Linked DNA regions of Nothobranchius furzeri. The protein of the gene in region 1 purifies or fractionates together with the protein of each later gene. This does not show direct contact. Links are inferred from orthologs where the notes say so. Each region holds a gene or a part of one and is shown in the gene's direction. Other genes may lie near its edges. The genes, in order: nup43, nup133, sec13, nup160 and nup107.

What was found.
Region 2: the proteins of nup43 (region 1) and nup133 purify together in Homo sapiens (affinity purification with mass spectrometry; 5 studies listed by BioGRID and IntAct, counting the BioPlex papers as one, with this or other methods). This does not show direct contact. The link is inferred for Nothobranchius furzeri from reciprocal best matches to the Homo sapiens genes NUP43 and NUP133.
Region 3: the proteins of nup43 (region 1) and sec13 purify together in Homo sapiens (affinity purification with mass spectrometry; 3 studies listed by BioGRID and IntAct, counting the BioPlex papers as one, with this or other methods). This does not show direct contact. The link is inferred for Nothobranchius furzeri from reciprocal best matches to the Homo sapiens genes NUP43 and SEC13.
Region 4: the proteins of nup43 (region 1) and nup160 purify together in Homo sapiens (affinity purification with mass spectrometry; 5 studies listed by BioGRID and IntAct, counting the BioPlex papers as one, with this or other methods). This does not show direct contact. The link is inferred for Nothobranchius furzeri from reciprocal best matches to the Homo sapiens genes NUP43 and NUP160.
Region 5: the proteins of nup43 (region 1) and nup107 purify together in Homo sapiens (affinity purification with mass spectrometry; 8 studies listed by BioGRID and IntAct, counting the BioPlex papers as one, with this or other methods). This does not show direct contact. The link is inferred for Nothobranchius furzeri from reciprocal best matches to the Homo sapiens genes NUP43 and NUP107.

What each region holds. Positions count from the first base shown.
Region 1 is NC_091742.1:11,413,485-11,419,525, reverse strand, and holds nup43 (nucleoporin Nup43), read left to right. Parts: upstream 1-2,250; 5' UTR 2,251-2,470; coding exon 2,471-2,584; intron 2,585-2,799; coding exon 2,800-2,922; intron 2,923-3,376; coding exon 3,377-3,454; intron 3,455-3,553; coding exon 3,554-3,716; intron 3,717-3,799; coding exon 3,800-3,935; intron 3,936-4,019; coding exon 4,020-4,171; intron 4,172-4,271; coding exon 4,272-4,392; intron 4,393-4,680; coding exon of another isoform or gene 4,681-4,684; coding exon 4,685-4,910; 3' UTR 4,911-5,179; downstream 5,180-6,041. Other genes in the region: pcmt (protein-L-isoaspartate(D-aspartate) O-methyltransferase), read right to left, coding at 1,927-2,107. UniProt on the Homo sapiens protein: Component of the Nup107-160 subcomplex of the nuclear pore complex (NPC). The Nup107-160 subcomplex is required for the assembly of a functional NPC.
Region 2 is NC_091747.1:67,766,414-67,771,525, reverse strand, and holds the end of nup133 (nuclear pore complex protein Nup133), read left to right. Parts: intron 1-865; coding exon 866-946; intron 947-1,024; coding exon 1,025-1,089; intron 1,090-2,743; coding exon 2,744-2,832; intron 2,833-3,678; coding exon 3,679-3,815; 3' UTR 3,816-3,932; downstream 3,933-5,112. UniProt on the Homo sapiens protein: Involved in poly(A)+ RNA transport. Involved in nephrogenesis.
Region 3 is NC_091743.1:73,557,817-73,563,803, reverse strand, and holds the start of sec13 (protein SEC13 homolog), read left to right. Parts: upstream 1-2,178; 5' UTR 2,179-2,308; coding exon 2,309-2,311; intron 2,312-2,502; coding exon 2,503-2,547; intron 2,548-3,213; coding exon 3,214-3,329; intron 3,330-3,493; coding exon 3,494-3,645; intron 3,646-4,328; coding exon 4,329-4,462; intron 4,463-4,609; coding exon 4,610-4,743; intron 4,744-4,856; coding exon 4,857-4,977; intron 4,978-5,903; coding exon 5,904-5,987. UniProt on the Homo sapiens protein: Functions as a component of the nuclear pore complex (NPC) and the COPII coat. At the endoplasmic reticulum, SEC13 is involved in the biogenesis of COPII-coated vesicles.
Region 4 is NC_091744.1:79,862,108-79,868,125, reverse strand, and holds the start of nup160 (nuclear pore complex protein Nup160), read left to right. Parts: upstream 1-2,532; 5' UTR 2,533-2,587; coding exon 2,588-2,678; intron 2,679-5,306; coding exon 5,307-5,415; intron 5,416-6,018. Other genes in the region: fibroblast growth factor receptor substrate 2, read left to right, coding at 323-486, 562-1,593. UniProt on the Homo sapiens protein: Functions as a component of the nuclear pore complex (NPC). Involved in poly(A)+ RNA transport.
Region 5 is NC_091741.1:38,077,957-38,083,473, reverse strand, and holds part of nup107 (nuclear pore complex protein Nup107), read left to right. Parts: intron 1-1,599; coding exon 1,600-1,671; intron 1,672-2,243; coding exon 2,244-2,332; intron 2,333-2,404; coding exon 2,405-2,480; intron 2,481-2,560; coding exon 2,561-2,674; intron 2,675-2,989; coding exon 2,990-3,080; intron 3,081-4,416; coding exon 4,417-4,496; intron 4,497-4,569; coding exon 4,570-4,629; intron 4,630-4,706; coding exon 4,707-4,852; intron 4,853-4,931; coding exon 4,932-4,980; intron 4,981-5,069; coding exon 5,070-5,139; intron 5,140-5,517. UniProt on the Homo sapiens protein: Plays a role in the nuclear pore complex (NPC) assembly and/or maintenance. Required for the assembly of peripheral proteins into the NPC. May anchor NUP62 to the NPC. Involved in nephrogenesis.

The sequences.
Region 1 (6,041 bases):
ATGTTATTTTTGCACAGCTTTGCAAACTTGTGAGCTGCTAAAAATGTAAACTCTGTATAACTTACGTTAATTTCCCTATAAATGAAAATATAACACAGTGAATAACAACGCAGCTTTTGGCAAACTTGCAGCTTGCAATAACATCCCAGACTGCACACAATACAAATAGACCTGGTAGATACTTAAGAGTGAGAATTAATTTGCAGTATCGCGCTTGCAGATATCCCATCTTCATTTGCTAAATGCACTAGAAAAAGAGTCTAAAGATATTTTTACAGTAGTCATCATTGACTGACTGCAGAGGAAGCCATGATGTTGATTATAGTGGACTCTGGACCACGTAACAGCTAAGTCATCCATCTTTTACTGATGTACAGTATTTTGCAAAGGCAACAGAAGGTGTTAGGACATTTTTTTCTTTTATTTGATCACAAAAACACCATAAAGACAATTGTCAGGGGTTCCTCTTGCACTAGTTGTGTCCAATCCTGGTCTTCCTGGAACAATAACCAGGATGCTTTTGCTATTGTAATGATTTTCAGTGGTTATATTACCTTTTAGACATGTCATCAAGGTCCAGAGAAACCTGTTAATCAGGTGTGTTGAAACAGAAATGTCTAAAATGTGCTGGATTGTTGTCCTGGAGAACCAGGAAATGACACTGTATGTCTTTTAGCATACTTGGGATCCACCGATACCACTTTTGTCCAAACCGATACGATACTGATACTTGGATCTGAGTACTCGCCGATACTTCTACCACACAAATAATGCAATGAATTGGAATACAGGTTTTATTTTCTTCTCTGCTTTCAACAGGAAAAGATTGTGAGGTAGATAAAAAATAAAATATATTCATAGAAATGATCACAAAACTGAAATATTAGGTGAACAGAAATGACAAGTTATGGTGAAGCCACTTTCAGGCAACTGCATTGGTATCGGTTCCTGGTTTCGGTTGACTTTTACATCCCTACTTCTATGCCAGCATTACAGTTTTCTTTACTTCATAGTTTGTCTTTTTGACAGGCTGGTTACATGAATAAACTTTTATTAATTTAGAATATAAAAAAACAAGATCTGAACTGGTAACTAGATATAAACTGGAAAAATAGGTCGTGTCTATAAGCCCAGAAAGCCAAGCTGACGCTAGGCACACCCTCCTACAAAATTCTCAAAATTACTCTGACTTTTTTGTTTGATAATTTAAAACACATTTTGCAGGTTGTAATGTGTGCAAACAATAAAGAAACTGTTTTGATTTCTGCAGATCGACTAAGGTTGATCGATTTCTTATTAAAATATTGTGAAAGGATATTAAATGTCCATGGAAAGACATCAGCTAAAATATATGCACAGAAATTTGAAAATGTTCAACAATCAGGCTTCTTAAATGGAAATGAGTCGTGGGCTTTGGCACAGAGCTATGTAGCTAACAGCTGCAGTGATACAGCAACTTGTCATTATTTAAATGTATCCGAGTATTAAAGCTCAGCAGAAACTATCCGGACATGTACAGCTGTTACTGTCATTCACATTGAAGTCCAGTAGAAGACACAGACATCAATGACAGTGGGCAGTAGCATAAAATCTCAAATGACGCACATACTGCTAACATGCTAAGCTAACTTCCCACAGGACACCACTTTTCTGCGATTTACAACAAAACGGAAATGTCATTTCTGCTGGGTTTTTCCCCCCTGCTGTGACAAAAGCGTTGCCTTGTCCCACACATGGTCCCACAGCGAAAAACGTGGTTTAGGAAAAGGGGTGGAGAGGCGGGAGGAGACGCTGGGTCACCATAAACATAGCTTGCTAGTAGCTACCGCTCCTAAGCTAACCCCAGCCTCCAAACTACAACGTTTTCTGGCGACGCGGCGGTGAAGTTCATCGCTGCTGCCGCTTTAAACCTGCAACCGGACTCACTGCGAAGGTTGTTGACAAGCTCTGCGTGGCTGGCTCCTCCAGATTTCCAGGCCATTATTAAGCAGACTTTACGGAGTAAGTAGACAGCAGCTGTAAGTGCCGCGCCTGCGCCAATAGTTTTACCAAAGAAGCTGACAACCTCCAGAGCAGACGGCGTAGCGGCGGATACGTCACTAGACATCCAAATGATTTTACAGAGCAGAGCCGCCTCTCAGATGCACGACCAAGCAGAAAAATATGTCATTTTAGAATATAATTAATCTGTTCATGATGCATCAAAGTCAGCGTCAGACGAAAGGGAATAAAAGCCACGTTCCTCAGCCATGCAGTGCTTTATCAGGTTTTTGCCGCAGTAACAACGGAGACGACCGCTAGGTGGCGGAATGTACAAATTCACATTTCTTGCGAGAAACGCAGATCAGATTGTTTGATCCTGTTGAGCCACCGTACTTACGTTTAAAGCTAGTGGGTGCGTACATAGAGCTAAGCTAACATCAATAAGAATATTTTTCGTATTTAGGCAGCAGAAACGTTGGTTGTTCTCATGGAGAGTGCTAAGTACGTGTCCCAAAAAGTCAGCAAGGCCAGATGGCGTCCTGTGTCGTCTTCGTTTTTACAACAACCAGAAATCTTTGCGACGGGATCGTGGGACAACGAGGTTGGCTAGTTGAATATTTTTGGTGAACCAAATTTACCCAGTTTTTCAAATGTTCTGTGTTTCTCCTGATTATGCACACTTACACGTTGTAACTGTCAAAAAGGATTTAACACTTGTTACACATAGTTTGCTTTTTTGTGTGTCTGTCAGGTTCGTTTTGGTCATTTTTTTTGCAAGGATGTGGCCTTTATTTAAAAAAAAAATTATTTCTGTAGGAAAACAAGATATCTATTTGGTCCGTGGGTAATTACGAAAATTCGGGCCTGGAAGATGGATTTGAAGGAGATCCGCAGCTTATTTGTGAAAACAAGCACGATGGAGATGTTCTTGGCCTCCAGGTAAGACGCTGTAACAATAATGTCATAACATACTAATAATGCAATTATTCATCACCATCAACTTTATTTATAAAGCACTTTACATCGACCAGAAGACAGACCAAAGTGCTGTACGCACTTTAAAGAAATTAAAACAACAATGAACCCTGCAGAGATGCACATAAAAACAAATAAAGTACATTTTCTGCGCATTTCAGAATTTTGCTAATACAGAAGGCAAATCTGTTGTTCTATGCATCAATAGTTTTGTTTCTTTGTAGGTCTGCAGGATTTCTCAGTGCACAGCCTTGTTATAGTCAGCAGGAGGATTTGCAACACAGACTCATTTGTTTTGCAGCCATTCTGTTGAAATTTTGACACGTGCGTGGGACATTGTTTTGCATGACTCAGTTTTAGTCGAGCTTCAGCTGTCCAATTCCTCCAAATTAGACTTGATTATACTACTTGATTATAGTTCCTGGATCAAGAGAGAATCGTCACGGCCTCATCAACGGGAGCAGTCACCATCTTCCGCCACCATCACAACAGTCAGGTGCAGTAGAGCTTTCATAAAAGATGTCAACTCCTGTATGAAGGTTGTGTTGCTGCCTTTGCTGTTTATTTATAAAATCATTTTTTCTTCTTACATCAGACAATCTCAGTTTCCCAGCAGTGGGTGAAAGCGCACCATTACCCCTGTGACAATGCTCCCTGCACTGCAGTTGTGTGCAGCAGCCCTGAGATCATCACAGTTGGGGAGGACGGCAGGATTATTGTCCTCAGAGCCGACCAGGATTGTATGGCTCAAGTCATAGGTGAGATTAAACCACCCCATTCAGAACTCTGTACACTTTAACTCGGTGTCAAGTCAACATGCTTTTGCGGGTACATTTGGTAGAGAATGCTGACAGCAGCACGATTCATGCTGTGACTTACCTGAGGACGACGGAGATTTTGACTGTGAACTCCATCGGACAAATAAAGCTATGGGATCTAAGACAACAGAGCAACTCGGCATCACAGATTCTGTCCTTGTAAGATCCGCTTTAGCACGTTTTCCCCATTTTTAATTCTACTATTTTGCTGATGTATGTGGATTTTAATTTTCCTCCAATCAGGTCAGGAGACAGAGTTCCTTTGTACTGCATTGACAGACATCCAAACCAGCAGCACATTGTAGCCACAGGAGGCCAGGATGGAATGCTCTGTATGTGGGATGTGAGGCAAGGCAGCATGCCCTCATCCCTCATGGAGGCCCACTCAGCTGAAAGTAAGATGTACATTTTTAATTATTTAATGGACATATAATTTACACACATATTTAAATATTTTTCACTTTTTTAATGCTTTTTGTCTAACTTTCCTGGCAGTGTGGGAGGTCCACTTCCACCCTACCAACCCAGATCACCTGTTCACGTGTTCAGAGGATGGATCGCTGCTGCACTGGGAGACGTCCTCCCACTCAGACATGCCCTCCTTTCTACAAGGCAAGTCCTATTCATCATAATAATCATTATTATTATTATTATTGGTATTCAGTTTAAAAGGCTGCCTATGTACTTCTTCTATTTTCTTAATTATAAAGATTCTATGGAAACACAAAAGCCATAATCAAGAAAATATCCAGTTGAATGTTTTACTGAAAGTTTACATTATTTAGGGTTAAATAAACAAAGAATTTCCTGATAATGTCCAACACCAGGTCAGTCTATTAAACATTGTCATGTTGTACTATTTGTCGTAATTTCACTGTAAAAAGTGTTATTGTTGTGTTTCCAGGTAGCAGAAACAGCAGCGTGACCTCTCGCAGTGCGATGGCCCTTGCTGGAGGAAACCAGTCCCTCATCAGTGCCTGGCTCAACGGAGACTCCAGTAAAAGCCGCCTGGAGACGACCCACATGCTGCCCAGCCAGACGCTGTCTGTCAACAGCTTGGATGTGCTTGGACAGTGCTTAGTTTGTGGAACTGATGGAGAGGCTATTTTTATCAACAAACAGGTCCCAGTTTAAAAGATCTGGAGGTGACTAATAAATACATGAATGCAAATTTTAATTTGATGTTTTGTGACACATTGGAAGACTTTTTTTTTGTTACACAAAAAGCCAATATACCTACGCAATGAAAGACCTCTGTGTCTGATGCAATGCTTCATTCTTTGCAGTGACAGAATATGGATTAGTGTTTTTGTATGTCATTCTGTACACAATTGTTCAGATTAATAATGTTTTGTACAGATTACTTAAAAAACAATAAAGAAATAAAATGTAACTTTCTCAAATTGTCTCAGGATGTTACGTTTTTTTATACTGACAAATCAAGTAAAATTGTAAATCAAACCTACCAACATAAAAATGTCAAAGTCAGCCTTGTGAGCTCTTATGTTGCTCTGTAAATTTACAAATAGATGTTATGTGCTCACCCAAAGGGAAATTGATTTATTTTTATACATATTAATGCTCTTATTTTTTTATTTCTAAGATTTGTGCTGTGAAATGTGTTTGGACTTCATTAACAGGTTAGCAAAAAAAAACTTATAAAAAAAAGCATTAAAATTTTCTTCATTAGTTTTATTAGTGTTATTTTGTTCTAAACTTAGCAAAAAAGTAATTTCTCCACTGACTTTTATTGTGAAAGTCCAGCGTCTGATGGTGCGTCGTTAGCTTAGCTGTTGTACTTGTCATTCAGATATCCCAGGAATTCAACAAGACTAGGAACCAGTCGGCGCGGAACAACAAGGGCATTTTAACTTCAAATCGCGTCCTCGACGCCGAGGAGGGTCAGCAAACCACTACTGTCCGTTAATAATAGGAAAAGCGACAGCGGCGGACTTTGGTGAGTTGTTGTTATCGGAGCTAGCAGGCTAATGCGCAACCTGTTGTTGAATAGCATCAAATGGATTCCTATTACACACAGGCCGCTTGAAAACTGCTGTGTTGTTTGATTTTAATCCTTTTTAAAACTCTTAAACTCAGTATTCGCCCACTCTTTTGACTATCCTTATAAACGTTTAATTGTGACAAAAATCCGTACCCAACGCCGGAGAATTTACGTAAAATTAGCGTTATGTTAGCATAGAGTGCTAAGGAGGCTATACACACGGAATGGGGTCTTTTAATGAAGTCAGTTCCAATCGAGACATT
Region 2 (5,112 bases), on another chromosome or scaffold:
AGCGACAGACAACCGTAGATATAAACGATATCCGCAGCTGCGCCACGAAAAGCATAAAAACCCATAAGAGTGACCAGCTGCACCACCGTCAGCCCCCACAACGCCGACACCCCTGCCTCCACTCGCGGCTACGGCCGAAATGCGTTTACGGCCTTGGGGGTGTTTTACGCCCAGAACATATTAGAAGAAAGTGCGACGATGCGCCGCGAAGCGCAGTGGGACGGCGAGCGCTTCTGATCGGCGCCCTTGTTGACCTACGCTCTCGGTCACATCCGCTGCGAAGCGCCACGGAGGCTCGCGCCGCGCAGCGATCGTTTTGGTGTGAGCTCTGATTTTTTTCGGAGCCGCATCAATTCTGACAAGAAGTCGAACCAAAGCAGAAGAGGCAAGCCGGTAAATTTAACAAAATAAAAGAAAATTTTCAAAATAAAACACTGCAATTGATAAATGTGATCATTTTTGTGTATCTAAACAGACTAGAGAGATGAAAATGAACACACACGCGCGCACGCACACACACACACACACACACGCAGCAAGGGCACAAGGGTGCGGTGGGGGGGTCGGAAGACAGTAGGCGTGAGCAGAAGCACTCGTTGACACAAATTTCGTGAGCGCTCCACTTCGCAGCTGGTGTGTTCCAGACGTGTAAAATAGTTGACACTACAGATCCTGAGTCAGTCGGATGCGAGCAACAAACCCGTAGCGTCGACGATCACGTGATGGTTTGAAATCAGAGTCGTTCAGCTCTGCTGCAAGCCGTGCCTTCCTGGAGCATCGTTGCTGGGAAGAAGTCACCAGCTGGCGGTCCTGCTGAAGTACAACAGGAGCCGGTCGCTTGTGTTGAAAGTGTCTTTCTCTGCAGCTCTACATCTGTGATGACAACAGGAGGGCCAACGAGTACGACTTCAAAAAGGCGTTGGACCTGCTCGAGTACATCCACAAGGTGACTTCCTGCTCATGTGTCGGACTGCTGAGGATCGATCTGGCTTTAGCTCATGAGGCTTTTCTGTTTGCGTTGCAGGAGGACTCTGTAGACATTGATGCTCTGAAGTGTGAGATCTTCGGCAAAGCACTCAGACGAGATGAGTAAGCTCTGACACGTGTATGGTTATCGGTTCAGTAGTCACAAACCTCCGACACCTCATCACCCCCTCCCACTTTAGGCTGAAATTAAACTGTAAAACTGGTGAAATAGCAGTTTAGTTTTTAAATACCCAGAGTTTGTTTTAATAACAATCTCACCGGGTCAAATGTTCTTTGTTTAAGGGACGTTTGTTCATGTTTCAGCTTGGCTGCTGGCCAGGTTTTGTTTAGACTTAGACTTGCTTTTATCTTTTTATTTATTTATTTATTTTCCCCGTGTCCTGTCTGGCTGTGAAGCTAACTCTCAGGCACACTCCAGGACCCCCCTAAGGGTATAGAGCTGGTGCAGTGTTCCACGACCAGGGCGAAAACCACATTGCTAATCCGGAACCTGAGGCTCGACAGCCCAACGGACCCTCCTCTCCAGAACCCCTGAATAGACCTCACCAGAGAGGCTCAGGAGTGTGATACCCCTGTAGTTGGAACACATCCTGCGGTCCCCCTTTTATAAATCGGTGTACCAGAAATGTATAAAAAAACTAAAGTAGTGAGGAGTAAAAATAAAGCTACTGCATGATGAGCTGTTGCACTAAAGATGACATCATAACAGCATGTCTATAGTCCCCCGAGGTTCCTAAAGGTGGTGGAGGGAAAGGTGTGATGTGTCTGAATCTGGACATCCTGCTGCAGATGCTGCAGAACCACATGTCCATGGTGGGGATAGGTGGGGTCTGAGGCTATGCGCTGCGCTGCAAAGGCCGTCTGTTTTTCCTGTGAGCGAGGAGAGGTGTTGGAAAGAAGGTTACATCGAAACAGATTTCCATCTCAGCCGGCTTGGAGGGATTGTCAGTTTTTACAATCTGTGAGCCGGCGGGGCTGCCGAGTCGCTAGCGAGCTAACGCTGCTGCACCGGGACTTGTAATTTGACCCGGCAGGCAAAAGCTCTAGAGTTGTTTAGAAAAAAAACAAAGCCAGTAAACAGGAGCGACCAAGAAGTGATTTCATGTACCCCTAAGAAGCCATGGCATCTTTGTGTTTTACTCTAATATTGGGTGAAGCAGGCTAGAGACTAACGTTAAGCTAACAATGCTAACAGTGAATTAGAGGCAAATAGTCGTCTGTAAATCTTTCTGAAGTTATTGTTTCAGGTACCAACAAATAGATAGTACAATCAATGTTTTTTATCTTTATGTCTACTTACTGTGAGTGACTCGTCTTCACTTGTCATCTAGAATGTTCTGGTGCTGATCCATAACTGGCAACAGCCATGAAGCTCTCAAAGAAAGAGTGAGAGAGTCCCCCGTTTGTTTTGAAAATGGCTGCAAATTTACCCCAAAAGGTCCAGGTTGTCCACTGGTTTAAATGACCCAAAGCTATAAAGTATAAATGAAGTATAAATAAAAGTATAAATGAAGCGACGGTGGAGGGAAGTGGACAACACGTCCATGAACTTGTTTATTGTAGCGATTTGTTGAATCGATGAAAAAGCATTAAAGATCCAAAGTCTCTGGACTTCTGATGCAAAGTTCTGAAACAATCTCTCTTCTGTTGTTAATGATGAGTGGAACCAGGCCATGGGTGATGCCTCCTAGTGCCTCACTGATGGATGACTTCTGATTGACTTCCATGTGTTTGACTGCTTCTGCCTGCCTTTCAGCTGGTCCTCTGTTGATGGGAACGACGATCCTATAGAAGCAGCTAAGGACAGCATCTTTGTGAAGATCCTCCTCAAAGTAATACAAGAAGGTTTGTACTTGGTGCTTTAAAGGATATAATACTCCGCTAGCAATAATCACGACATAAATGGTTCACTGAGTGTAGACGGCGCCAGCAAAAACATGTAGTTTGAAATTCCATAAATGTAAAAGTGGTAGAACATGTAATGAACCCATGCCTAGTAAAGGAAGGAGACTAGTTCAGCCAGGAAAGGATTTTGAGTTGGTCTGAAGCAGCGGAGACTTGTATGTATGGGAACGGAGCACATCACTCCTGTTCTTAGATCCCTACACTGGTTACCAGTAAACTACAGAATACACTACAAAGTGCTACTACTAGTTTATAAATCACTCAATGGCATGGGACCAAAATACACGTCCGATCTCATTCCTGTATATAAACACCCAACAGGGCTCTGAGATCCCTGGAAACAATCAGCTGGTAGAACCTCGGGTCAGAACCAAACATGGTGGAGATGCATTTAGTTACTATGCTGCTCACATATGGAATCAGCTTCCCCATGACCTCAGACCTGCCCCAGCCCTAGTGTTGTTTAAAACTAAAACCCTCATGTACTCATCAGCCTTTACATGAATAGTTTCTTACCATGCGTCGTCTCCGCTGTAATCTGTGATGCAACTTTGTCTTCTCCTTTAGCTCTAAACTGTAATTCTACCTGTGTGTGTTTTAATTTGTTTTTATGTGTTTTCATTTCATGTCCTGATAACAGTAAAGCACATAGAATTGCCTCTGTGTTTGAAATGTGCTCTACAAATAAAGCTGCCTTGTCTATAATGTGTAAAAAGCAACATATCTCTCCCATTGCCACCTGGAATTGTAGCTTAATAAAACAAACCTCTCCCACCTTTGTTTCAGGTGTTCCCTTGCAGACGTACCTGCCCGAAGTCAAAGAGCTGCTCGAACTCGATGAGCTGAGTTCTTTGAAATCCAAACCTTGTTTTGAGTTTGTTCTTCGAGCTAATTATGAACATTACCTTCAGGCTCAAATGTGACGACCCTGCATGCTCTCAACAAAGCCGACTCGCTTTGTCTGCATTTTTCACTTTCTCGTTTTCATCTTATATTTTCAAATGTTTCATTTTCTAAATAAATATGCATTTATTTCTGAATTGTTCTGGGTTTTTTCCCACAAAAATGTAGCAAGTTTAATTTATAAGTTTAATTTCCATAGAGAAGCAGGTTGTGATGTGGCTAAATGCCTCGTTTATACTACTCGGTCTGGATTGGCTGCAAGGGCTCTCCAACAGGAGTCGAGTACAACTTTCTAAATATTCATCAGTTATGTAGACCGCAAGCCTGTGATTGGTCAGGAAGTTGCTGCTTTTAACTTTGTCAACAGCACCACCGTTTTCAAAATAAATAAAACAAAAGCGGAAGAAATATCTGGCATCAGAAACGGAACCGATACAGTGGGGTAAAAAAGTGTTTAGTCAGCCACCGATTGTGCAAGTTCTCCCACTTAAAATGATGACAGAGGTCAGTTATTTACATCATAGGTACACTTCACCTGTGAGAGACAGAATGTGAAAAAAAATCCATGAATTCACATGGCAGGATTTTTAAAGAATTTATTTGTAAATCAGGGTGGAAAATAAGTATTTGGTCAATAACAAAAATTCAACTCAATACTGTGTAACATAACCTTTGTTGGCAATAACAGAGGTCAAACGATTACTATAGGTCTTTACCAGGTTTGCACACACAGTAGCTGGTATTTTGGCCCATTCCTCCATGCAGATCTTCTCGAGAGCAGTGATGTTTTGGGGCTGTCGCCGAGCAACACGGACTTTCAACTCCCTCCACAGATTTTCTATGGGATTGAGGTCTGGAGACTGGCTAGGCCACTCCAGGACTTTCAAGTGCTTCTTACGGAGCCACTCCTTTGTTGCCCGGGCGGTGTGTTTGGGATCATTGTCGTGTTGGAAGACCCAGCCACGTTTCATCTTCAAAGCTCTCACTGATGGAAGGAGGTTTTGGCTCAGAATCTCACGATACATGGCCCCATTCATTCTGTCCTCAACACGGATCAGTCGTCCTGTCCCCTTAGCAGAAAAACAGCCCCAAAGCATGATGTTCCCACCCCCATGCTTCACAGTAGGTCTTAGCCATAGTGGAGTTTGGAGTCTGACTGTTTGAGGCTGTGGACAGGTGTCTTTTATACAGATAATGAGTTCAAACAGGTGCCATTAATACAGGTAACGAGTGGAGGACAGAGAAGCTTCTTAAAGAAGACGTTACAGGTCTGTGAGAGCCAGAGATTTTACTTGTTTGAAGTGACCAAATACTTAT
Region 3 (5,987 bases), on another chromosome or scaffold:
AACTAATATTCTAATGGGGAGGAAAACCACAAACACCTGTGGGAAAAACGCATTAAAGAGACTAATAAAATGAACAGCTGAAACTAAAGGAAAACACTACAGAAAGAAAAACTACAGGGGCGTGACTAAGGGGGACCACGGGAGCACTGGACCTGGGAGGGGGATACCTGGGGAGGGAAACCTAGAGGGCTGCAGATCTGGGGACAAATGAGGAACACAAGAAGACACGTGAGGAAGATGCAGACAAGGACAACATGAGGGCGCTAGGAGACACAATAGGAGAACCTAGAGATGGGGGAGAACACAAGGAGACACATGAGGGGAGACGCAGAAGCAGACCGTGACACTAGCCAGGCTTTTATTTTACGTAGATTCAGCTTCAACGTGTTCTGAAGGGAACCACATAGAAGAACCTGCATGTGTGGCTAAAAGGTTCATGGAGGGTGTGAGAGGAGGAGGACGTTAAAGGAGAGAGCATCGATCCTCATGGTGGAGGAGGTGGACTTGTCTGTCAGGGAGAAGATGATGCCTAGAGGAAAGGGTGAGGGATGAAGAGGAAGAAAGATGAAGGGAAAATAAGGAAATGGGAAAATAAAACAGCTGAAGGAAAAGAAAAAAATGATGTTTTACTGTGAGGAGAAAAAACATAAACCAAAAATGTGATTCATGTAAATAACCCAAAAAGAACATCTTGTTTATCTTCTACTCTCTGGTGGAGGATCCAAGTGCTGCAAGTGGGAATTTATTTACTTTTTTTTAACTAGATAAATATGTAAGTGTGCTGCTTGTCAATAAACCATTTATTTCATATAAAATTGCAATTTGGGGCTATAAGATGTTTTATCAGTGGGCTTGATAAAACATCTAGCTTCCATCCTACCACCTCACACATCACATTACATCACCTCACATCCACAATATCGCATCTCGTTATTCATATCTTGTCATGTATAAATATTAATTTTGTAAAAGAATTAAATTAATTTCATAAACTATATACCTGACTCTGTCTGAATTACAGTAATACAAAGTGTGTTTATGGTCCCTGAACAAGTAAAAGTAACTATATTCTTCTGATTAAACATTCAAAGATCAGTCAGGTTGATATTTCATATTTATATGGAATAATTTGTGTGTGTGTGTGTGTGTGTGTGTGTGTGTGTGTGTGTGTGTGTGTGTGTGTGTGTGTGTGTGTGTGTGTGTGTGTGTGTGTGTGTGTGTGTGTGTGTGTGTGTGTGTGTGTGTGTGTGTGTGTGTGTGTGTGTGTGTGTTACCGTGGTCTGGTGCCTCATATCCACACCCATCAGCGCCTCGCTAAGGAAGACGAACGTGTTTATTGCAGCTATGTAGCGAGGGTCATACAGAATTGCTTGAGCCCTCATCTGCAGCAGCAAGGACCTCAGTAAAAGGCCGAACCTGGTCCTTGGTGGGTTAGGATAAAAACAGCTGTCAGGTCAGACTATTGTGGGTTTATGGCGTCACCTTGTGGTCATCTGGGGTAACGACGTGATAATTTGCTGTCCAAAAATCACAATCTGAGAGACATCTTCAAAAATTGACTATTATTACCAGTTGATATTTAGGAGACCTGAAAAAGAAGCACTTGTTCCTCTTAAAATAATGTTTTTTTTTTGTTTTAATGTTGTATTGAAATGATAAAGGGAATGTAATGTATCGATGTGTTCTGTTTTCTGTCTTTTTCTATTTGTTTACGTGAATTCATGTTACTATTTTATTAGTAATTATAATATGATTACAGACAGGTGTAAATGTACTGTGTGTGTGTGCGTGTGTGTGTGTGTGTGTGTGTGTGTGTGTGTGTGTGTGTGTGTGTGTGTGTGTGTGTGTGTGTGTGTGTGTGTGTGTGTGTGTGTGTGTGTGTGTGTGTGTGTGTCCCAAGTATGTTTGTTTTACACTGAGTAGGAGATGCTCTGTATCTCACTTTACACCTGTATGGTGACAATAAAGGTATTCTATTCTATTCTATTCTATGTATAGAGGGTCTTTGTACATTTAAGTTTCCATCAATAATTTTAGCTTTTAGCTCAAATAAACTGTTTCCTTTTTATTGTTTGATTATTTTTTGTTTGTTTGTTTGTTAAATGAAGCGTTTTTAAAGTTTTTATTATTCTTCTTTTTTAATTCACGCAGAACTATCATTTGGCGTTTTGTTTTACCCGGTAGGAAGTGAGGTGGGACTCGGTGGAGGAAACGGCTTCTGTACTTGTTGCCACGTCGGAATTGTGAACCTTGTGAAGTTAGTCGATAGAGAACAGGGGCTTCTTGTTTACACGGTTTAGCCACAGCCATGGTGAATTTCGTCACTTTTTGTTTTAGTTTCAGCTCAAAATATTCTAGGATGTTGATTTTATGTTTACATTTTGCTGGCTAGTCTTGGTAGCTGTCAATCCATTAGCACGATCGCTAACGGCAGGAGGCTAATCTGTCTGGATATAGTTTTATATTTGCTTGATTTTGTTCTTATTTGTTTGTCAATTGCAGGTTTCCGTTATAAACACGGTGGACACTTCACACGAGGATATGATCGTAAGTGTTTATGTTTTATCCAGTTTTATTTTTATCTCTGATGCTAAAAGCTAACAGTTAGCGGCTGTAGCTTTTATCTTCATTCAGTACCACAAGTGTAAGTGTTCTGTGTAAAGCAGCAGTTTTTAATTTAAATATGTAATACTGTTGGGATGTGTGTTTTGAGAAAGGAGTAGCACATTGTTTTAATTAGTTTAGTGCTTTTAGATCGTTCAGTCAAAATGTTTGTCTTAACTGTACCAGATGCTATAGTGTAATAATTACAGAAACAGTGCTATGTGGATTATTCTGTAGTGTTGACTGTGAAAATTTGTTAAATAGTCTTTAAACTTCACTTAATCGGCGTGTTTTGCATTTTCGTTTTAGTTGTAGGGAAAATCTAGCCGAAATCATTCACGTATTCACATTCTCCCTAAAAAGATAAGATTAATCATGTTCTCAATGTTTCAATTTAAGGAAATCAAAACCAAAACAAACATTCAAATGATGCAGTTTATGCCGCACATTTGTTATGTGATGGTGAAAGATTTAAGGAATGGGTTTCAGTTTAGCACCATCAGTTCATTTATGAATAAACCAGGTGTCATGCTTCCATTGTTTGGTGCTTTTGCTGCCCCATAGAAATCCCCACCAACATTCCTGGTGTTGCTTTGTTGTCTGTTTCAGCATGATGCCCAAATGGACTATTACGGGACTCGACTCGCCACGTGTTCTTCTGACCGCACCGTTAAGATCTTTGACGTCCGCAATGGTGGACAGATCCTGGTGGCAGACCTCAGAGGGTAAGAGATCTAAGCTTTGGAATATGCACAGAAATTTACGTAAGTAGAGTTGTCAAGTGAATGTCAATACACTTCCATTTATTTCCTAAAGATTTAATCTTCACCTGTTCTGTAATGTATTTTTATTTATTTATTTGTGTGTGTGTGTGTCCTGCATCATGTAGCCACGAGGGCCCTGTGTGGCAGGTGGCGTGGGCTCATCCAATGTTCGGCAACATTCTAGCATCCTGTTCATACGACCGCAAAGTCGTCATCTGGAAGGAGGAGAACGGCACCTGGGACAAGATGTATGAGTACACTGGACACGAGTCATCAGGTAGAGTTCTCCATTATTCTAGTGCCGGGGTGTTCATTTCCAAGCCTGGAGGGCCAGTATCCATTATGTTTTAGTTTTAACTGTTTCAACACACCTGATTTCAATCAGCAGGTGATTAACAGGCTTCTGCAGAGCCAGATGAGCTGCTGCACAGGTGATTCAACCATTGAATCAGGTGTGTTAGAGCAGAGAAACTACTAAAATGTGCTGGATACCGGCCCTCCAGGACCGGAATTGAATATCCCTCTAGTGGTTTAAATGTGCTCCTCCTCCTCATTCTGCTAATCCATGTGGCCTTCTTGAAAGAAGTTCAGGTGCTAGTAATGCTGGAAGAAGTTCCGTTTTTCTTACAGATAACAAATGTTTTGATCTTAATGTTGTAATTTTATTTCTTCTTCTGCCCGACAGGTCAGTGTAATGCACCAAAGTACACGTCTTGTTTCAGATATGTTCTCTTTTTTTTTGCCAACACCTTTAGAAAAATGAAATATTCAGATTAAGTTCTGTTTCTACAACATTCTCTTTTGTTTGAGTACATTTCTTTTTCCCTTTCTAATTGATCCTTCCTTTTTAAGAAATTACAAAGAAATTCATGTTCATATATTGGGGCTGAGAGATCAGTTTGACTGAATAGTTTTCCACACAACTTGATCTCGTCCTTAACTCTGTCTCTGTGTTTGCAGTGAATTCAGTCTGCTGGGGTCCGTATGAATTTGGTCTAATCCTAGCCTGTGGCAGTTCAGATGGAGCAATTTCCCTCCTCACATTTACTGGTGATCAGCAGTGGGACGTCAAGAAGATCAGCAACGCACACACCGTGAGTTAAAAATGAAATGGTTTTCCTAAGTTGTCACCAATCTTTTAAACTTTATTCTGTCTCACCTTTTCTAATTTAGTGTTTCTGTGTCTTTTGGGGCGTGAAGTGTATCTTTAGAATAATTAAAAGCTTTATTTTTTGCTTCAGATTGGCTGTAATGCAGTGAGCTGGGCTCCTGCTGTAGTTCCAGGCAGCCTGATCAATCAGCCATCAGGTCAGAAACCAAACTACGTCAAACGCTTCGTCTCTGGCGGATGTGACAACCTGGTGAAACTCTGGAAGTAAGTTGCTGTTGAAAATCTGTCATCCTGTATGGATAAAAAAAAGAACACTTTCAACAGTGAACGTCAGATGTAGCTAATATTCTGTGGCCTGAATAATGTTCTGCCTGCAGAGAGGAAGACGGTCAGTGGAAAGAGGACCAGAAGTTGGAGGCGCACAGTGATTGGGTCAGAGACGTCGGCTGGGCTCCTTCTATTGGTCTTCCCACCAGCACCATCGCCAGCTGCTCCCAGGTCCGATTTCTTTTTTTTTCTTTTTTTTCCCCCCCGTGTCCTGTCTGGCTGTGAAGCAAACAGAATTGATGTCTGAATGCTGGTGACAAGCCTTACAGATTTACTCTCAGGTGGAGCATCAAAGCGTCTGCTTTTAATGTCACACCTGGTACTTAAAACTTTATTGTTATTGTTTTTGAATGCTTTGTAATTCCGACCAGACACGGAGTCAGAGGTGAAAGAGAAAGAAAGATACAAAAGGAAGAGAGGGGGGGCAGGTTGTATTTCTAAAGAAATCTCATGTTGAATTTTTCACCTCATCACCAGGTGGAGCCATAGATGACATGTTTCAGAAAATATTTAGAGAAATTAAATGTTAAATATGGAATAGGGACACTCTGGTGGTATTGCAACAACAGGACTAATTTTCCAGCCGTTGGGATGTTGGTTCACTGCTGACATGTTCCAGCACCGTGTTTAGAGACAAATCGTACAGAATATAGACTAATTTCTACTAATGAGTTTATTATTCATCATTAGAACATCTTCTGGACTCAGAATCAGCTGCTTGACTTGTCAAGTCAGCCATTTTACACAGTCCCAGCCTCGCCTTGCTCAGCGGGTGCTTTAGCTTAATGGTGCCCAGTGGCTGGTAGATGTAAACATAAACCCGGCGTTGTGCCCGACAGAATAAAAATGTGATACATATTTTTTTTAAATATAGCTTTTAAAGGAGAAACTACATTCATTCTGCACACCTCTCAACGACCTGTGGCGGTATTGTTTTTGTAAATATAGCTTTTTATTTAAACTGTTCCATATGCCACCTTTAAGTTAAACGTTTGTTTAGAAGCTTGTCTCTGCTTTATAAAATGTCAGATTAGGTTTTAGTACGAATTAAAGTTTCTCTTAGAAAACTAAACTATTTGTCTCTGCATCTCTTTCAGGACGGGCGTGTGTTTATATGGACGTGCGACGACCCCGCAGGTAACACATGGACGGCCAAACTGCTGCACAAGTTTAACGACGTG
Region 4 (6,018 bases), on another chromosome or scaffold:
TACTCAGAGTAGTTTCTGCTCATTAAGCAACAACAGACAGTTACAGCTTATAAGCTTGACTCCCATATTCCAGTCTGAATGGACTAAGCTCCTCAGATGAGAAGCAAAACGTCCTCAAAAATCCAAACAAGTCCAGCTGCCTCCATCTGAGCCCTTTGGGTTACCATCACCTGGATGACTGGGAACCTTCAGCAGATTATTTAACACATAAACAATAAAATATCAAGAAACTGTTTGAACGTATGTATAAATCATCCACACGATGAACAAAGATGAGGTCACATGATGCCGATGTCACTCAGCTGTTTGTGTGTGTTCGTAGCACTGGGATACTCTGTACCAACGGTGCCTAATGGGGTGAGTCGGCTGCCCTCTGTGGGTGAGGCCCCATCCCACCCATCCACTCGTCACCCCTCAGTGGCCAGCACCCGCTTACCTTCTGTGGGGGAGGAATCCACGCACCTGCTCTTGGTAGCCGACGAGGCGGTAAGTTCCCCACCCATCAACTGGTCTGACACCCACCTGGTCTGTGTGGTAATGCTGTGTATGTTTGTGTTACAGGTGCACACCTATGTGAACACTACAGGACTCTTGGAGGACCAGCCCAGTCCGCTAACAGTCACCACCCCCCTGGAGAGCCCTGCCTCCCCGCTTGCCATGAGTCCTCCCACACCACCACCACCTCCTAGGAATCATGGGGAGTCAAGTGCCCAGCCAGAGCCCCAGGTGCTGCTGGAGCCTCAGGGGGTGCGCTTCGTGCTTGGGCCCACCCCTGTTCAGAAGCAACAGATGGAGAAAAGGAGGCGGCAGGAGTTGCAAGAGGCTACCGAGCCCCGAGAAACTGATGGCCCTACCCAGATATCTGCAGAGTCTGAGCCTCTGCCCACACACTCCCATGACTCCTCCTTCAACCCGCCTACAGCTCCTCGTCACACCCGCCCACCCCCCCTGACCCCTGACCTGCAGAACGCTAACAACTCTGCACAACGACGCACTGCCCTGCTGGACTATGAGAACCTGCCAGCGCTGCCTCCGGTTTGGGAGGTCAGGAAGCCGAGCAACGAAGAGGAGGAGATTTCCGACGGCAGCCTGAAAACTCCATCGCTCAACGGCTTTAACCACGCCCCCTACAGCTTGCTGCATCACCCCTACTCCCACCCTCTGTCTGCTGCCCTCGAGTCTTCTCACAACTATGTCAACACAGAGAACGTGACCGCGCCACTCAGCGCGCACCGGCCTGACACAGCCCGCCGTCGAGCGGATTGCCCCACCATTTTTAATTTTGAATTCCGCCGACCGCCTCTGCCGGGCCACATGGAGCCGACTAAAACGCTCAACTACATCGAGGTGGAGATGGACAGCAGTGGTGGAAACAAAGGTGCCTCTGATGGCAGCAACCCTCACACACCCCGCACCCCCACCTCCCCGCTGCCCCCCACCACACCCACGCGGCGCACAGAACCCTATGCGCTAATCGACATCGAGCGCACTGCCGCCATGTCCAGTCTACAGAAGGCACGGCCGCGGGACGACGGCACGTCACGCAAGACGAGACACAACAGCACTGAGCTGCCAAGCAAGAGCGCAGCGTGATGCGCATGGAGCTGTGCACGGACTCCTCAGATAGGAGATGGATCGTCTTGTAGTCTCACCTGTTCAGGTGAACTGGTACTTTATACCTCTGAAGGTGATGATGTAACAGACTGCTTTCCTTATATGGTACACATCAGTATTACTGAACAAACATTCCAGTTATCTTTTTGTACGAGTCACTGTGCTGCTGTAAGATGACACATGTACAGTAGAGCTGACACAATAAAGTCTGCTTCTATTTGAATCGGCTGCCGAGCGAGCGCCTTGCTTCATCTCTGAGCCACACCGCCATTCGCAACACAAATGCATCTGTCCATTAAATTCAGTAATCGGTGCAGTCTTTTCCAGTGAAGCATCTGCTGCCACCTAGTGGTCAAAGTGGCAGCAGCAGGTTCTCGGGTGGAGAAGCTGGAGGAGCATGTGGTCCTGATATTTATGTGAGACTCCACAGATCTCCAGAAGACGTGGAAAGTGCCAAAGTCAAATATAGAATAGAATAGACTTCATTAATTCCACAGTGGGTAATTTGACTTGGTATGGCGGCACATTCACCTGGAGAAATGAGAACTAGGAACTAGGCTATTATCGTAACCTTCAGCACTCAAACAAATGAATAAAATAGAGTAAAATAGAAAATCAGGGTTTCGTTTTCCCTTCAGCCTCAGCGTGTGTGTGTGAGAGAGAGAGACAGACCTTCAAATTAACAAACTTGTTTTTTTATTAAAATGTGAAAAAAATTCATTTATGTTTTCTTATCATGCCATACCATGTATCTGACTTTGTTAAAAAAAATCCGTAAAATGAGTTTTGAAGTTAACACCTTCAGTCGAAATAAATGCTCTGCGGGTGATTGGGAACCCATCCAAGATGGCGGCCCGCTACTGCTACGTTGCGTCCACAGACATATCTATGGTTACAGTGGGGCGTTTATTTCACTGGGTTTCTAAGATGCTGCGTGCGCAGCTTTCAAGTGTCACGTGGCCCCACGGAGAAGATGGCGGCTGTAATGGAGAGAAGCTTCGTGGAGTTTTGCGGGTTTGAGCGGGAAACAGAGCGCCGGTTCCGTGAAGTCACAGTGAGTCCAGGTGAGTGTGAGTTCTGATTAATGAAGTCCAGTTAGGCATTACTTTTAATGTTCCATTCACGTTAACTGGATCCCGCGCTGATCTAGCCGCGGCTAGCTACGCTGTCCTCTCGCTCTGCGCGTGCTCACATGTCTCTGTGATGTGAAATGTTCAGGGCAGCTGCACCGAACAGGTGAGCTCTAGTGAAACAGTTGTATGGTCAACTCAAAGGTTGCTCACCTGTTACTCATACTGAACAGGGGCGCAACTGCCATCATTCTGAGGGGTATGTAGGTGCATAACAGCCCACCGCAGATCAAAGCTGCGGTGTAACCCAACCTGAGGCAGCTAGGCTGGATTACGGTGTCTTCTTTATGGAGTCAGTAAGTCCTCTTCACGCAGAAAGAAAGAAGACGATCTTTAATAGAGCGCCTCAAGATAAAATCACGAGGATGTGGAAGCTCAACCCTAATCCTGCAGAAGTGTCAAGGACTTTATTTAGCGAAGTGCAAGTCTACACCAGGAGAACATGACGTATACGACACAGGTGAATACCTGTAAGTGAACATTCAGCCAGAGGGATTAACGGTCAGAGATGTGGATTGAGCCAGGTTCATCTGAGATCACCTGATTTTGTTGCAGAGCAGAACAAAAACACGACATGGAGATGACTTGATGCCACAATTCCCATCTCTGTTAGTTCTACAAATACGTGCAAAAATCCACAAGCATCAATCGTTTTGAGACTTTTTGTTAGACGAGTGAGAAATTTTGTTTATAAATAGTTATACATTTTTAAGAGAATAAGGGAAATATGGCATCTTATGAGCAGATTTACATTTATGGATCTAGCCAAGAGAATAAACACGTTCGTTGCAAAAGTATACTTATTGTACTTTTTTATTCGGTCACTACCCAAAGCTTGTGACCATAGGTGAGGGCAGTGTTGGGAACGTTACTTTAAAAAAGTAATTAGTTATAGTTACTGATTACTTTGTCAAAGTAACTCAGTTACTGAGTTACAAGATTATAAAAGTAACTAATTACCAAGAAAAATAACTACTTAGTTACTTTTTCATTAAAGCGTGCAAGAGTTACTACAATAGTGAAATATAAATGACTAATGATTGGAACATAATAAAATGAATGTCTAAATGTTTTTTATAAACCTGAACGATTTAAATAAATAAGCACTTAACAGGAGGAACTACTAACAGGAACATTACACTTATCTAGACTATTAAAAGGTCACTGTGTGATTTTTAACAAGACCCCAATCAGCTAAAATTTAAAATTGCAAATAGAAACACCTGTAAAGGTTCCCGAGCCTTTAAATGGTCTCTCAGTCTAGTTAAATTACAGAAATAAATGTAATTTTGCACAGCATTTTAATTTTTCCAGCTTCACATAATTGTGTGTTTTTAGCAGCATTTCTGTTGCTGCTAATCTAGTAACGGTTAAATAAATAAATAAAATCCTTTAAAATGACACTAGAAGAGGCACAAGCCTGATGGAGGACTTACATTTACTAACTTGGGTCAGACCCAACCACAGAAGAGCTGAAGCTGGGTGGTAAACACACACAGGTAGTTCTAGTAACACCTGAGCTCCATGCCGTCTGAGACTGATGCATCAGTGTTACAGCGGGACTAAAGACATGATCAGAAACAGGTTACAGCTGGATGATCTAGGAAGGTAGAAGATCAGGACGTCGGAGCGGTGAACAGGTGAGCGGACCTTCGGGACGTCCCGCTGTCACGCTAAGAAGGACACGGCTGCAGACCCGCAGATTCGCTGCCGCGCTGCTTAACGCACGCATTTCCTTATCAGTAACAGAAACGATCGTTTTGTTAAGACGGTAATTAATTAGTTTGCTCGTTACAGAAAGAAATATATATATCTTTTTATTAACGTGGTTATTTTAAACGGCGTTATTCCCATCACTGCTCAGTTGGGTCTACAGCAGGCAGCAACTGAGACAGTGAGAACACTGAGGGTCTCCGCCCACCCGGCTAATCATCATCGTGTTTGTAAGCGCGTTACCGACACCTCTCTTCCTGGCTGCAGCTGAAGTGTGGCGGTCAGAAAGCCTCACGCTGCTGCTCAACGTTCGACAAGAACATAGTAACGCACAACCTTCCATCCCCAGTAACGGTAACGGCGTTGCAACAGTGGGAAAAGTAATTAATTAGATTATTCTGTTACCTAAAAAAGAACACCATTAGTAATGCCGTTATACTTAAACGGCGTTACTCCCAACACTGGGTGAGGGTAGGAACGTAGATGGACCGGTAAATCGAGAGCTTCGCCTTCTGGCTCAGCTCTCTCTTCACCACGACAGCCCGGTACAACGCCCGCATCACTGCAGACACGCTCCAGTTTTCCCTCACCCGTGAACAAGACCCCGAGATACTTAAACCCCTCCACTTGGGGCAGGACCTCATCCCTGACCCGGAGAAGGCATTCTACCCTTTTCTGACTTTGCACTAGTTTTATATTTATAAATTCTGTGTCCTTTCTGAGCTTACCAACATTAGTTGTTGTATGAAACAGTTTCACATCATTATTAGTCACAATGGCTGTTTGACCAGGCAGCTGGTTAGTTCAGCTTCGAGGTGACTTCATATCTGTGTTTTTTTTTTTCTGCAGGTGTGAGCGCTCCAACAGTTGGGATCAAATTTGCTGATAGTTCCGGGGCATTCCATTATGAAGAGAGTGGGAAGCTGCTGTCGGTCACTAGCAACCGATTCATCCTCTGGTGAGCATGTAAAGTTCTGCTGGTCCAGAATCTGAATCCTGCAGGTCTGTGTGTGGGTGTAGGACAGGGGGATTCAATTCCAGTCCTGGAGGTCTGGTATCTAACACGTTCTAGTAGTTTCTCTGATTCACCTGTGCAGCAGCTCATCAGGCTCAGCAGAAGCCTGTTAATCACCCGCTGATTGAAATCAGGTGTGTTGAAGCAGAGTTGAAACTAAAGCGTGCTGGATACCGGACATCCAGGACCAGAATTGAATACCACTGGTATAAGGCAACTCTAATATCTAAAGGGTTCGTGTTTATCTGTAGATCAAGCCTGTTCTAAAACAACACAACTCTCAACGGAGCAGTGGAATTGAAATCCTTAATAAAGATTATTAATTTGAAAAAAATCAACGCATTAATACAGGGTATCCGCGGGTCCTTAAAAAGTCTTAAAAAGTCTTAAATTTGCTTTTCCAAATTTAAGGCCTTAAAAATCCTTAAAAATGACAAATATTCCTTAAATGCAGTTTCCAAAGGTCTTAAATCACCAAAAACCCAATAAACAAAATTATTTTATTACTATGAAATTTTCGTGAATTTCTAGTTGGTGTTCAGCATT
Region 5 (5,517 bases), on another chromosome or scaffold:
ATACATTTAGTTGTGTTTCTATACAGCATTGTGACACCTTGTATATCTGTAACACAATAAATAAATAAATAAATAAACAAACAAATAAATAAATAAATAAATAAAATTTTCTATAACAAAATTAAACAAAATATAAATTCTGGTCCTTTGGTCCACCTTTGTAAAATAATTCCTCCCTAATCAGTTAGCTTTTATTTATTTTTATTTATCTATTTTTTTTTATTATTAAATGTTTGGTTAAGGGACGCATTGCTAATTCTATGGCGTTAGCTATAACGCCCCTGAGGACCTTGTACATCTAGGCCGTACCACCGTTAACTGGCGGTTTGAGCCGTTAACTCCTGGGAATCCCATATGCCGTACCGCCGTTAACTGGCGGTTTGAGCCGTTAACTCCTATATGCCCTACCACCGTTAACTGGTAGTTTGAGATGTTAACTCCTGGGATCTAACGTCTAGCAGCCCACTGCTGTCACCTCGGTTGCTGTAATTAGCTTTTTGAATTTAATAATTTACTGAATTTAATCTCATTCACTCACCAACGCGCTCCAACGGTTCCCTCCTACAGAGGATTGGTTCACTCTGTCGTCTCCACACAAATCTATAAGAATGGAATTAATTTGATAAGCTATTTAAGTTTCCTTTTTTTTTTTAAGTTGCATCGTTAGCTTTTTCTCTTCTTTTTTCTTTACTCACCGCGTTGGTTCCAAGTTCCTAGCTCTTATTAGAAGGAGTCAAGTCCGCCTCTCCCTCTATCTATGCGGCACCCAAATCAGGGTTCTTCACGGCCTCGACCGTTGTTTTTTTTTCTCTCTCTCTCTCTCTCTAACCGCTCAGTCTTTGCTTTCTGTATCTGCGTGCTGCACAGCCGTTTGTCTCTCCTCTCGCTCAGCTGCGTCGCACGGTTTTATTTCGCGGAGGCGGGACTTATTTCTCTCAGCCAATGAAATTTCAGATTCCCACCTGGACCAATAGTATACAGCTTTCCTCTTCTGTTTCTGTTAGTGATGTTCAAGATTCTTGTTTTAACCGATGTTTAATATTAAACTCGTTATTTTAGTTATTCACCCTTCCAATAATTCATTATGAAATTATCTATTAGTTAATTAGATATCTATTAATTAGTATTGTTAATTTCCTTAATTTATATTTTATATTTTATCTAAATTGAGGATGGATCATATTAGTAAGCCAATTAGTTAATACCTCATTAAGGTTCTAGCTTCTGGGTTACATCTCTTTAAAGCGAGTTCTGCTGAGTTTAGGAGCCTTCTTCTATCTAAATGATTCACCTGTAAGAAACCCTCTGAATATGTTCGGGCACAATGAAGCTCAGTAAAAAGCTTCCAAACCCTGAAGAAAACCGTGAAAGGATCTGGAGGAAACCTGGATGCTGAAGCTGAGCAAAGGCTGAGGAAATAAAAAGAGCTGACATTTGGACAGAAGATGCTGCTCTGACCTCTTGAAACCTTTAAAAGATGTCTGCGCTGTCTCAGACCAGCTGACTCCTAACAATAAACGATGTTTATCCCTCCCAAACAACGTCAGTCTATCGCTGTTTGACACAGATTCCTTCAGACGCGTGTGTCTGTGTGTTCAGGTTCCCAGCGAGAGCGAGAAGGTGGTGGTGGAGCAGCTTTTCCAGCGAGACAGCATCGTACGACAGAGTCAGGTAACAAATTCAGATTCCTGGGTGATGGAGGCAGCTTAGAGGACCTTTCTCCAACAGCACTACTCAGCCTAAAACGGCTTGGTACAGCGTGGGTTAACTCAGCACAGCTCACCTCAGTGTTGCTGGTTTTCCTGGCAGCTCCGTGGCAAAGATTGGGTGCGCCCCTCATAGTGTGTGTGGGGGGGGGGAAGGTGCTGGGGAGGGGTACATCTTTACTCGTGATCCGTATTCTACACAGAGACGCAACTCGGCACAAAAATGTCGGTGATGTTGAACAATCTTCTCAGTTTTTGGCTTTTTGTCAGACTCCGAGCCGGGACATGGCAGTGACTCCACCCACTAGCCAGTCAGTGGCTGACAGTGGCGTTTGTGGACTGGGTCAGCGTTCTTCCAGCCACAGGGAACCAGCAACTGAAAAGTTGGGGGACAATACTGAACCGTGCTTTAGGAAAAGGTGGCCAGATCTAACCGCACCCACCCGAATGGCGCTGAGAATGGCTGTTGGAAATTTGCGTCCTCCTACAGATAAATAGATGTGTTTCTGTTGTTCATTCTCACTCGCTTCACTACAGCTGGTTGTTGATTGGCTGGAGAGCATTGCCAAGGATCAGACGGGAGATTTTTCAGATAAAATTGAATACTACGCTAAAAATGTCTGCTGGTAAGTTCCTGCTTTTCTGTTTCTTGTAAATTTTACAGACGCGTGTGTTTAAACATCATTTGTGTTGTTCAGGGAAAACACGCTGCATGCACTGAAGACGAGGATGAAGAGCGGCTCCGCCTTTTCCATTCCTCTGGTCACTGAGCTGGTGAGCCTCTCTTCTGCACCACTAACCACATTTTAAACTCCTCTCTCCGAGCCACAGAGACGAATGATTTGTCTCCTCAGGACCCCGACGCTCCTCTACGACAGCGACGCCCCCTGGTGGATCTGGACTTGGAGGATGACGCCCGACTCCTAAAGAACCTGTTCACCCTGATCCGAGCGGGGTTGACGGAGGAGGTGAAGGAGCAGATATCCGTTCATAAATGTGGAATTTCAACTAGAGGCTTTAACTAAAAATACAATCTGTCTCGCCTCAAACACGGCAGAAGTAGTGAACCAGAGAGCTCTCACGGCAGTTTTCTGGCAAACGCTTCAAATAGAATTAAGAAGTCATAAACATAAAGGTCACAACCTTAAAGGTTTTTATGGACATGTAAGAGGCTAAGACTCCAACTTGTTTAGCATAGAAATAGTTTGGTAAGATTTGGACGCAGACTCACACTAATAAACGTCTCTGAAGGGAAAAGTGAGCCGTTTCATTTTGATCTACAGGCTCAGAGGCTGTGCAGACGCTGCGGTCAGGCCTGGAGAGCTGCGACTTTAGAAGGATGGAAACTTTACCACGACCCCAACATGACCTCAGGTAACACCTGACCTCAGAGAGGCTGTGTGCACCGCCTACCCGCTCCACACAGGTCCGGTCAGAGCTGATGTGAGCGGCTGTGAATTTGGATGGTCCTGCCCCTGCCACAGCAAATATTCTGTTGCCTAGCAACCGCGGTGACGCTAAACGAAGTGAAAACTTAACTTGGTGGAAACTACTGCACACTCCATGTTTGCTTCCCCATCATCTTTATTCATCATGCTGCCTCACTGCCACCTAGGACTGACTGAATAGTGTTTGGTGTTCGCCTCGAGAGCAACCTGCTGGCTTGATGGTCATCTGTAAGTCGCTTTGGACAAAAGCGTCTGCTGAACACATAAACAAACTTGGCACATGAAGAACTACAGTACCCACCGTGCAAGCTCGTTTATGATTTTTCTTATAATTTTTATGGATGTATTTAAAAAAAACAAACATGCAAACACAACAGCTTTAAGCTTTTTATGTTTTTAACCATCAGATGTTAATTTTCCAGCATTTAAAACTAATCCTCTCATTGATACGCAGTGAAAATGGAAGGATGACGCACCTGGATTTGGACGCAGCCATAGTCCACATTTACACTCCGACACTTAACTCGTTCACTGCGACTAAAGGCGTCTTGCATTTTTTTACTGTGTGGGCGTCGGACGAGCCCCCGCACCGTGAGAACAAACATCCCAGCTCTAAAGCTGATCTTCATCCGCGTACGTCACACGTCACGTGATCAGGAAGCAGAACATCCATGTGTTAGGAGATCGTTTTGGGCCGCTGCTGTAAAAAAAGTGAGGCGCGAACTGGAAAAGCTTCTGCCGATCACAATTCAACAACGGATTATGAAAGAACGGATAACGCTCGAAACGCGCGGATTCTTCCTGATGTAAGAGGTGAGTCTCCTCTTTGTTTTGGTTGTTTTGGCGTCGACATCATCCTAGCGCGCAGCGTTCTGTGACTCTTAAAAAAAACAGTAAAAACGGTGAGAAACGCCAGCAGCGAATGAGTTAAAGGAATATTTCAGTCATTCTGACATCTTGTTCTATCTCTTAATTTATCCACCGACATCCTGCCTGCTGGTGACATCACTGATTAGGCAGCGTCAGAGGTAATGGCTAGCCACATCTGTAACAAGTTTTCTTGACTCCTCTGAGATTACGCCGACCGTTTTCTCCTGACCTCCTGAAACCCACCTGGATTAATTCTGCCGCTCCTTCTGCTCCTGACGCTCTCTGAAGGTTCCTTGGGCCCGTGTGAAGGATTAGTAAATCATCCTCACTGCTGGTGAAAACTTTACCTCCACCATCCTCTGATGTTTTCTCTCACTCTGGTCTCCCTGCAGGTAGTTCACAGTTGCAGCCTGCTGAAGGAAACCCAAACAGAGGGATCTGGAAGGCCTGTTGCTGGAGGATGGCAGAAGAGGTACGGTGCACTTAAAGTTCAGCTGAAACTGAGAAAAAACAACGGTATGAACCGAAACGCCTGTATGTTTCAGGACCAGTTAAACCGATATGAGAAGGCGATCTACGCCGGCCTGAGCGGAAACCTCAAACCAGTAATTCCATTTACAAAGTAGAGGAGTGATCAGATTGATGCGTTGACCTGTGGAGGTGACTGGTGGTTTTTGTTCAGCTCCTTTCAGTGTGTGAGTCATGGGAGGACTGTGTGTGGGCCTACTTCAGAGTGATGGTCGACTCGCTGGTAGAGAAAGAGCTTATGTCGTCGGGCATGGCCCATCAGGAAGTAGAGTCGCTACCCCGAGAATATCTGGAGGCCAAGTAGGAAACACATTAACTGGAAGAAAATATTCCAAAATAAAGTTTCTGACGACTGTACTGTCTGGGGTTTTCTTCACAGTTGGACCATGGAAAAGGTTTTTGAGGATCTCCAAGCGTCAGAATCAAAGGTGACGCTCTCGCCGACCGATTGTGTGGATTAAAATGAGAAATGTCTGACAGCGCCTCATCCTGAAGCTCTTTCTGTGTTTATGTTCAGAGAGTTCTGGATGAAAGTAAAGAACATCATCACATCATCCAGAAGTTTGTCATCCTGGGAGATCTTGACGGTAAAACAACCCAAATCTTTGTTGTTGTTTTTTTCTTATGGAGGCTGAAAGGGATCAAAAAGCTGCTGATGGGCACGGGCCAGCGTGTTCCCTCGCCCGGACCCGGGTCACCGGGGCTCCCCTCTGGAGCCAGGCCTGGAGGTGGGGCACGATGGCGAGCGCCTGGTGGCCGGGCTTTTACTCGTGGAGCCCGGCCGGGCACAGCCCAAAGAGGAAACGTAGGTCCCCCTTTCCATGAGTTCACCACATGTGGAAGGGGCCGGGTGGTAGCTGTATGCAGGGACCTTGGAGGTCTGATCCTCGGCTACAAAAGCTGGCTCTCAGTATGTGGAATGTCACCTCTCTGGTGGGGAAGGAGCCGGAGTTGGTGGGTGGGGT